2 linked regions of the Nothobranchius furzeri genome follow. Each later gene encodes a partner of the first gene's protein in a complex. Links are inferred from orthologs where the notes say so. Each region holds a gene or a part of one and is shown on either strand. Other genes may lie near its edges. The genes, in order: pigs and pigu.

The links.
Region 2: the proteins of pigs (region 1) and pigu are in contact, whole or in part, in a cryo-EM structure (PDB 8IMX), measured with the Homo sapiens proteins. The link is inferred for Nothobranchius furzeri from reciprocal best matches to the Homo sapiens genes PIGS and PIGU. Residues at the interface, in NP_149975.1 of Homo sapiens: Ala4, Gly5, Ala8, Thr9, Glu12, Arg15, Arg18, Ala19, Phe22, Phe23, Val26, Leu30, Leu34, Trp35, Thr38, Thr39, Leu510, Leu511, Phe513, Ile521, Tyr522, Leu525, Phe526; in NP_536724.1 of Homo sapiens: Gln118, Phe282, Glu283, His284, Phe285, Leu287, Phe288, Phe289, Cys291, Val292, Phe293, Ile295, Phe299, Tyr300, Ile302, Pro303, Ile306, Lys307, Lys309, Glu310, Thr417, His418.

What each region holds. Positions count from the first base shown.
Region 1 is NC_091750.1:65,604,511-65,608,429, forward strand, and holds the start of pigs (GPI transamidase component PIG-S), read left to right. Parts: upstream 1-1,178; 5' UTR 1,179-1,216; coding exon 1,217-1,268; intron 1,269-1,300; exon of another isoform or gene 1,301-1,868; intron 1,869-1,947; coding exon 1,948-2,087; intron 2,088-2,166; coding exon 2,167-2,278; intron 2,279-2,361; coding exon 2,362-2,451; intron 2,452-2,528; coding exon 2,529-2,620; intron 2,621-2,707; coding exon 2,708-2,948; intron 2,949-3,039; coding exon 3,040-3,182; intron 3,183-3,268; coding exon 3,269-3,383; intron 3,384-3,455; coding exon 3,456-3,601; intron 3,602-3,721; coding exon 3,722-3,822; intron 3,823-3,899; coding exon 3,900-3,919. UniProt on the Homo sapiens protein: Component of the glycosylphosphatidylinositol-anchor (GPI-anchor) transamidase (GPI-T) complex that catalyzes the formation of the linkage between a proprotein and a GPI-anchor and participates in GPI anchored protein biosynthesis.
Region 2 is NC_091743.1:68,645,020-68,648,938, forward strand, and holds the start of pigu (phosphatidylinositol glycan anchor biosynthesis class U protein), read left to right. Parts: upstream 1-1,262; 5' UTR 1,263-1,303; coding exon 1,304-1,433; intron 1,434-1,751; coding exon 1,752-1,816; intron 1,817-3,919. Other genes in the region: psmf1 (proteasome inhibitor PI31 subunit), read right to left, coding at 1-29, 696-824. UniProt on the Homo sapiens protein: Component of the glycosylphosphatidylinositol-anchor (GPI-anchor) transamidase (GPI-T) complex that catalyzes the formation of the linkage between a proprotein and a GPI-anchor and participates in GPI anchored protein biosynthesis.

The sequences.
Region 1 (3,919 bases):
TTCAAATCATTCCCAAAAACAGTCGGTGTATAGTGGAGAAAATAAACAGTAATTCACAACCTGGGTTCATCTTGTTTTAATTATTTATATGATTTACTCTTTTTAGATGAATTATGCATCCAAGAAACTCCTGCTACTAATATTACATTACTGTTGCTTATTCATATGTACACATTATTGAACCATAACATTAGGACTTCCTTACCTTTAAACCAACAATGGCAGCTGGCTTGAATGTTAGGAATATTAAACAGTTGGAGAGTATTCTGTAGTTTATTGTGTTAAAATAATAACGGTTCTAGTAGCAGTATTTTGAAAAGAACACCCTGAACTACCTGCTACATCCTTCTGATTTTCTTCTAAAGCTGCTTATTATGAACGAGTCAAACTGGGAGTGTTACATGCTTAAATTGCAGGTTTAAAGGTATTCAAGACAAGTCAGTGATACGAAAAAAATGTGATCACTAAAGGTGACGTTAATTAAAACTGTCACAAAGGGGCGAAAGTTTCCCCTTCACGTGTGTGTTTAATATTTTTTCAGGATCGCCCGATGACTTTCTGTCTCTGAAGCAATCACAGTTCTCCAAGTGTAATAATACATTTATCACAAAATTATTGTACTTTTAATATATATATATATAGACGTGTTACTGCTAGTTTACCCATTTAGAGATCCACTAGGATAAATACAATAAAGTTTATCTCACCAAATAGAATATTTACTAAGACATCACAATAGAACTGTAGACACATTAGAGTGTGTGTGTGTGTGTGTGTGTGTGTGTGTGTGTGTGTGTGTGTGTGTGTGTGTGTGTGTGTGTGTGTGTTCTGTCGTCTCGATCCCCAGTGAGTCGTGGAGGATGGCTGCTTATACTGAGCCAGGATCCTCTGGAGGTTTCTTCCTGTTAATAGGGAGTTTTCCTCTCCACTGTCGTTGCATGCTTGCTTAGTATGAGAATTGCTGTATAGTCACTGACACTAGTCAGTGACTTGATGCAATTTGCTGGGTTCCTTATATAGGACACATTATTTCTGATTGGCTTAATGAACTGTGAATTGGAATGTTTATTTTGTGAAGTGCCTTGAGACGACTCTTGTCGTGAATTGGCGCTATATAAATAAACTTTAATTGAATATATATATATATATATTACCTCCTTTATTCTTGTCTGAGTCAGATGAAATATGTGTCACGTGACTCAATGTTGTGTTGGTGATGAAACCGAGCACACCCGGTTCATTGCAAATAATGGCCACCGCGGAAGTGGGTGAGTAGATAGAATGTCACATTATGTTTTAACATTTTAGTTTAGTCAGAGTAAAAAATTTAACTGTACTTTGGGGTCCATTTACAGACTTTTTAAGACGTCCTGTAGCTACATTCACTTTTAGCTGGAGACATTTGTTTTCATGACGTTAAGAACCATTTTTGTTGAGCGCTAGCTCGCGTTAGCATTGTGGTTTCCAGGAAAATGTGCATTTATAACAGCTAGCTTCGTTTTAGATGTAGTTTTAAACAATTATTTTTATTTGCAACCGTCTGTTCTTCTATAATAAGCTGAATAAAACCCATGCATCCATGAAAAAATCTAATAGGTTCAAAGTTTATTTAGCTTATAATTTTTATTTATTATTTTAATGCCAAAGTTAACCCCAAACTAATCGATGAAAACATGTTGCTTCTGTACACAGTTAGATGTTAATGAAGGGAAATAAAATGTTGTGTTTTTATCCTGTTCTTATGTAGTTACAACCATTTATTTATTTTAATAGCATCAGTTAATATTACTGTGAAGTGATTCTAAGTTTAGTGATAGAAATAGATTAAGTATTTGACACATCAGTAACACACAAACAAATAGGCAGAGGTAATTTCTTACAAGACATTTTGCATCCATTGTAGAATTTCTGTAGCAGAACTCTTTTCTGTGTTGGTCTTTCTTTCAGAGCGCAGACGAGGTCAGCTTGCTGCTTTGTCCATAGCAGCTGTGGTGATCATCGTTGGAGTCCCTCTATGGTGGCGAACCACAGAAACCTACCGTGCCTGGTTACCTGTCAGTCAGATAAAACAGCTGGCAAAGCTACAGGTTAGTTTCTGACTCCTAAAACAACCTTTTTGTCTCGTGGGAGTTTGCTTATTCGTGTTTTATTTTTTCTGTTTTGCAGCTCCAGCTGAGCGCTGACGTAGAGGTCGTCTTTGCTCGTGGTACTGTGACCCCCGAGCAGCAGAAGAAGGTTCCACTGACACAAACACAGGAAGAGGAACATGCAGTGGACGGTGATTTAATGAAGTGGTTTAGGAGGTTGTTTCGGAGGATGAAGCGTGCATGCTCATTTTGTGTGTTTATGTTGTGCTTACAGGAGATACAATGTTAAGGTACAGGTTTGAGACGAGGTACCGCACAGCTACGATCATGGAGGAGGATGCACTGAACAAGCCCACTGCTGCTGGTCAGTTAAAGGTTAAATCTCAAATGAATGGTTTGGTGAAATTACACGCAGTTATTTTTCTGTGTCTTGTTTTTTAGGAGCAGATGAATCTCTGCACACACTCAGCGAGAGTCCGTGCGGTTCTCTGGTTTTTTATGTGATCCCAGAGCTGTCCCTATTGCTGCCTAAGGTCAAATCTGCTAGTATTTTATACTCTGCTCCTTATTTACTTCGACCCGTGTCGTGAAAAATTCGGACGTGTTTTTATGCTTTGCAGGACACAGATGTGTACATCGGTCAGCGTCGAACTGCTCTGCTTCGTGTCAGCTCCCAGGTGGGTGTGGGTAGGACACTCGAGCAGCTCCTGGCCCAACTGGAGCCTCGCATCAAACAGGTGCTGCAAGTGATGTCTTTCAGCCACACCGACGTCTCTGCTGTCCTCAGTGACCGAGTCCGTTTCAACCCAGACAGCAAAGAGGGCATTGCTGATAGCATGAGAGCCTTCAAATCCAGCCCAGGTTGGCTTTTATTCAGCCATGAATAAAGTTGGTGTGGTTAAAGTTGGTGTGAAAAAAACTCTGTTTTCTGTTTATTTTTATTTTCCTTTAGGTTATGAGATAACATTTAGTCTGTTGAACCCCGACCCAACGTCACACCAGCTCCACTGGGACATCGAAGGTGCTGTGCAGACCTACATCCAGCCTTTGCTCACAAAACTCTCCCCCGTGGCCAACTTTAGCATCGACTCTCAGGTATGAAACTCCGTTTTGGTGGACATTCAGTCAGGCGCAGAGCACGTCAAAAGATAACCCTCAACCCTATACTTGTGTTCTTACAGACGTTGTACTACTCTGTGCTCGGGGTCAAACCACGCTTTGACAGCAGCTGCGATGCCTACACGCTAAATGCAGACAGCCTCGCACACGTCATCAACCCGGTGGAGGCCAGACTTGGTAAAATAGGAATTTTAGGGATTTGAATCCACTGTGTTGCTTTATGATAACATAAAAATGTTTGATTTCCAGGTTCTAATGCTGCATCTTCCAACCCAGTGCTGAATTTCCTTTTGTACGTTCCTGATGCTCACCATTCCCCTCTTAAAATCCAGGATCATAGGAAACAGGAAGTGCCCTCGAATGCGTTTCATTCTCCTCGTTGGGGTGGAATTATGGTAAAATATTTAATTTTCTCTCACCCGAATGAAAGAAAATAGATTGTTATTTATTGAAAACACCCATCGGAGCAGTGAAGGTGTGATGATGGGGAAAAAGTCTATCCATTATTTCTTTAGGTTTATAATGTGAACGGTTTCTATGAGCCAGAGGCTGAGCTTCCTGTTGACATCAGCATCAACATGGCTGAAGTCATGGGAGTGTTTCTCGCTCAGCTTCGGTAAGCGTCACTCTCCTAGCAAACATTTTAATATTTCTTGCCCGTGTACAAAGTTTCCTAATTTTTTTCCCTGCCAGACTCCTGCTGGGTGTGCAGT
Region 2 (3,919 bases), on another chromosome or scaffold:
AGCTCAGACTTCTTATCACTGCTACGAGGCTGCAGAAGAGGATGGATGAAAAACACAAGAACAGAAACGAATAACAGAAAAAACAAAGGGTTAATGAACAAAAAATAGTAGATTTATTAAATCATCTGATGTGCGTCAATGTGACCCAGCCCCACAGAGTGAGTTAGTTTAACCTGCTAAAAGATGACTTGACATGTTTTGTTTTGACAGTTCGTTACTTTAAATCATTGGGTTTAAATGAAACAATTTGATTGAAAATAAGTAAAAGACGTCTCCTAGACATTATAATCCAGCGAAGTTAGCTAAATCCAGAAAAGTATACCCTTTTGGAAAGCTAAAGCTAACTTCAAAATAGCAGGTTAGCGTGCGCAAGTTCCCCTAGAAAATCGATTGCTTAATGTCTCCTTCAATAACATAAAATAATCACGTCAGAAACTGTGTAAATGACATTATTATTCTGTACAATATCTTACTGCTGATCTATCGGCATTTATTAGTTTAATTAAAACCTTGTACTTTTTCAATAACGTGTAATTTCATGTCTGATCTTTTGTCTGTTCGTTTCTTTTATGAAGCATAAATAGTGAAACCCTTGTTACAAAAATAACAAACCAGGTCAACAGGTCAGGTTACTGTTTGTCCATTTTCTGCATCATCTGAATCTGACCCAGCTTCAAACAGCCGATTTTACTCACATCATCTCCAGACCCGATACACCTGTATCCATTCTTTATCATTTCCCAGTGAACGAAGCACACAACGGCGTCATGCGGGCAGCTGATGCTACCTGCGACACAGGTGTACAACACCTCCAAGCCTGCCATGTTTCTTTAGTGTCTCGACATCAACACAGCATCAAAACGACGAAAAGAAAACGAAAGTCTTCCCATTTGCAACCTAGAAACTTCTAGCACTTCCTGTCTGGGGATTTCAATGTAAAAGCACCGCAAAAAATTCGTTGCAAGGCCAGGCGCCTTGACATTGAGAAACACTCTTATAGATACATTCTGTAGATATTTGTACTGAGTATTTTTACACAAAAGTAATGAAAATGATCTGTATTACATCTGTGTTCTAAATGAAATCCAAAAAAAAATTATAAAATGTGCAAAAAACCAAACACAAAAAATAATTATGATCAGAATTTTACAAGAACGTAATGCCTTTTCAAGTAAAATAGAAGACGAATAATAGTTTATGTGAACTTTATTTTGTTTTATTTATGTAGTTGTCTTTTTAGACAACATACTTCATTTCCCATCATGCCTTGTACCGGCAGGGCGGAAAGCGCTTCCTTGTGAAGATGGCGGCTCCCTTGACTCTACTTTTAGTTGTAGCCGTTACAATCCGCGCGGCTCTTTACAGATCCTCTCTAGCGGAGGTAATCGCGGAGCGGGTGGAGGTGGTGTCACCCATTACCGCCTGGAAACGAGGTAAGCGCGGGTGCGGCTGTCGTCCGGATCCCAGTTGTTCGGTTAAAATTCCGGTTCCTTCCTGCATCTTCGTCTGAACGATGCTGTCAAGTCAAACCAGTTCCGATACAAAAGACGGAGAGTCCTGATCGGCTTGCAAAAACAAATCCAGACAAGCCTAGACAAGTGCTGATTTCTTATAAAAATGTTGAATAATGTGTGTGGATGCTACATGTGTCATGCTTCAGCCCCTGTAAAGTAAAACCAGATCATTACAAGGTGATTGATGATATTAGCTCTACCATAGAGGATAACACAGATGTTGTTTGTTTTTTGCAGTTATTGAGGGTTTGGCACTGCTTGATCTTGGAGTTTCACCATACTCAGGAGATGTGTTCCATGAGGTAGGAGATCCGCACATTAAATACCTATCATGTTATCAGGCCATGACAGCATTTGTGTCTGCTTTAGGGGTTAGGTGATGAGCTGATTTCAAATCCTCAAGGATTTAAATGTGTTGCCAATCTGCCAAAGTAATAATAGTAGGATTGTCACAAACTATTTATCAGAATGATTGGGAAATGTTGCTGCCCAGATCGATTTGGATGCAACACACTCAGGGCCTGATCACATTATTGTGTATTTATGGTATTTATGGCCCAGTCCCAATACTCACACCTCCACACTTGTGCCTTTTAATATCATGTTCCCAGCCAGGGGTGCAAGTGCATAGGGTGTCCCGATTTTCAAGTGCAGGAAGTGACCAAGCTCATTTTGCACCCTTGATCTGCACTTTTCCCAGGTCTGTATCAATGTGGACTTGGGTGACCCACAGTTACCCACAATCTATTCCTGCGTGTTAAGTTTGAGAAGAAGGCAGGGCAATGGCTCAAGTGCCTTTTCTGAAAATTTGTATTTTCAAATGAAAGAAATTTTAAGACGATTAATGACATTTATTCATGTTGTGAATTTTTTAAGACTAAGGTTTAATGTGGACGGCAATGAATTTCAATTTAGGGTCTCCAAAAAGGGTGGGTAGTCTGAACTGTAGTTTGGTGCATAAGCACTGACCACAGTCAGAACCCGTCCCCCCACACGTAGGCGGAGGGAGGCTACCCTCTGATTCACTGGGGTAAACCTCAACATACAGGCACCAAGATGGGGGGCAACTAATATGCCCACCCCTGCTCAGCGCCTCTCAGTGGAAGCAACTCCAGAGTGGTAGAAAGTCCAACCCCTCTCAAGGAAACTGGTTCCAGAGCCAGAGCCATGCATTGAGATGAGTCAGACTATATCTAGTTGGAACCTCTCAACGTCACACACCAACTCAGGCTCCTTCCCCACCAGAGAGGTGACATTCCATGTGCCAAGAGCCAGCTTCTGTAGCCGAGGATCAGACAGCCAAGGTCCCTGCCCTCGACTACCACCCGTCACACACTGCACCTGACCCCTTTGGCCCCTCCCACGAGTGGTGAGCCCATGGGAAGGGGGATCCACATTTCCTCTTCGGGCTGTGCCCGGCTGGGCTCCATGGGTGAAAGCCCATCCACCAGGCGCTCGCCAACATGCCCCACCTCCAGGCCTGGCTCCAGAGGGGGGCCCCCGTGACCCATGTCCGGGCGAGGGAACACAGTTTCCATTTATATAATTCATCATAAGAGGTCTTTGGGTTGCTCTTTGTCTGATCCCTCACCTAGGACCTGTTTGCCATGGGTGACCCTACCAGACGCAAAAAGCCTCAGACAACTTAGCTCCTAGGATCATTGAAACACTCAAACCCCTCCACCACGGTAAGGTGGCAGCCCACGGAGAGGAACTTACTACGCACTTACTACATGGACTGAAATGCTTGCCCTGGTTTTCTCCATGTTTAATGCTCCTTCTGTCATCCTGGAAGAGAGCGTTAAAGCTTGCAAAATACACAGCCATTTTCTTCTCCATGTCTGAATCTCATGTCAATGATGTCAATATGGTGAGACACAATTGTAGTCCTAAATGTCTTTTCACACAAAACCTAAAATCACTGTTCGAAAATAGCGAATAACAGAGTCTTGGCATAAATGTGTCTTTAAAATTCACGGACGTCAAATGTAAAATCCGTGGCACATATCAAACAGGGTCAGAAAATAACTTTTATCCGCTCATAGACTCCGATTCATTTTTGGGAGCAGTGGGACACCCATGGACCAGAAGTGGGTGGGTGTGGCTTAGGCTCCCCCCAAAAAAACAAGTAGAAGTAAAGATGTTCTTACTTGGTGAGGATTTTCAGTGTTGGTCTGTTAGCATAACTTCAAAATGAGTTGGTGATTTACATCATGGTGAGGTTAACTGTCAGCTGTGGCATTAGGTTAGCATTATTAGCAGCTATTAGCATAAGGTAGATAATTAACCTATATGTTACAGCATCCCCCCCCCCCTCCTTTAGGGCTGCTTTAACATAGAGAGCATGTTTTGTTTCATTTTTGTGAAAATTTACTTTAAATATGAAAAATCATTATTTTACTTTT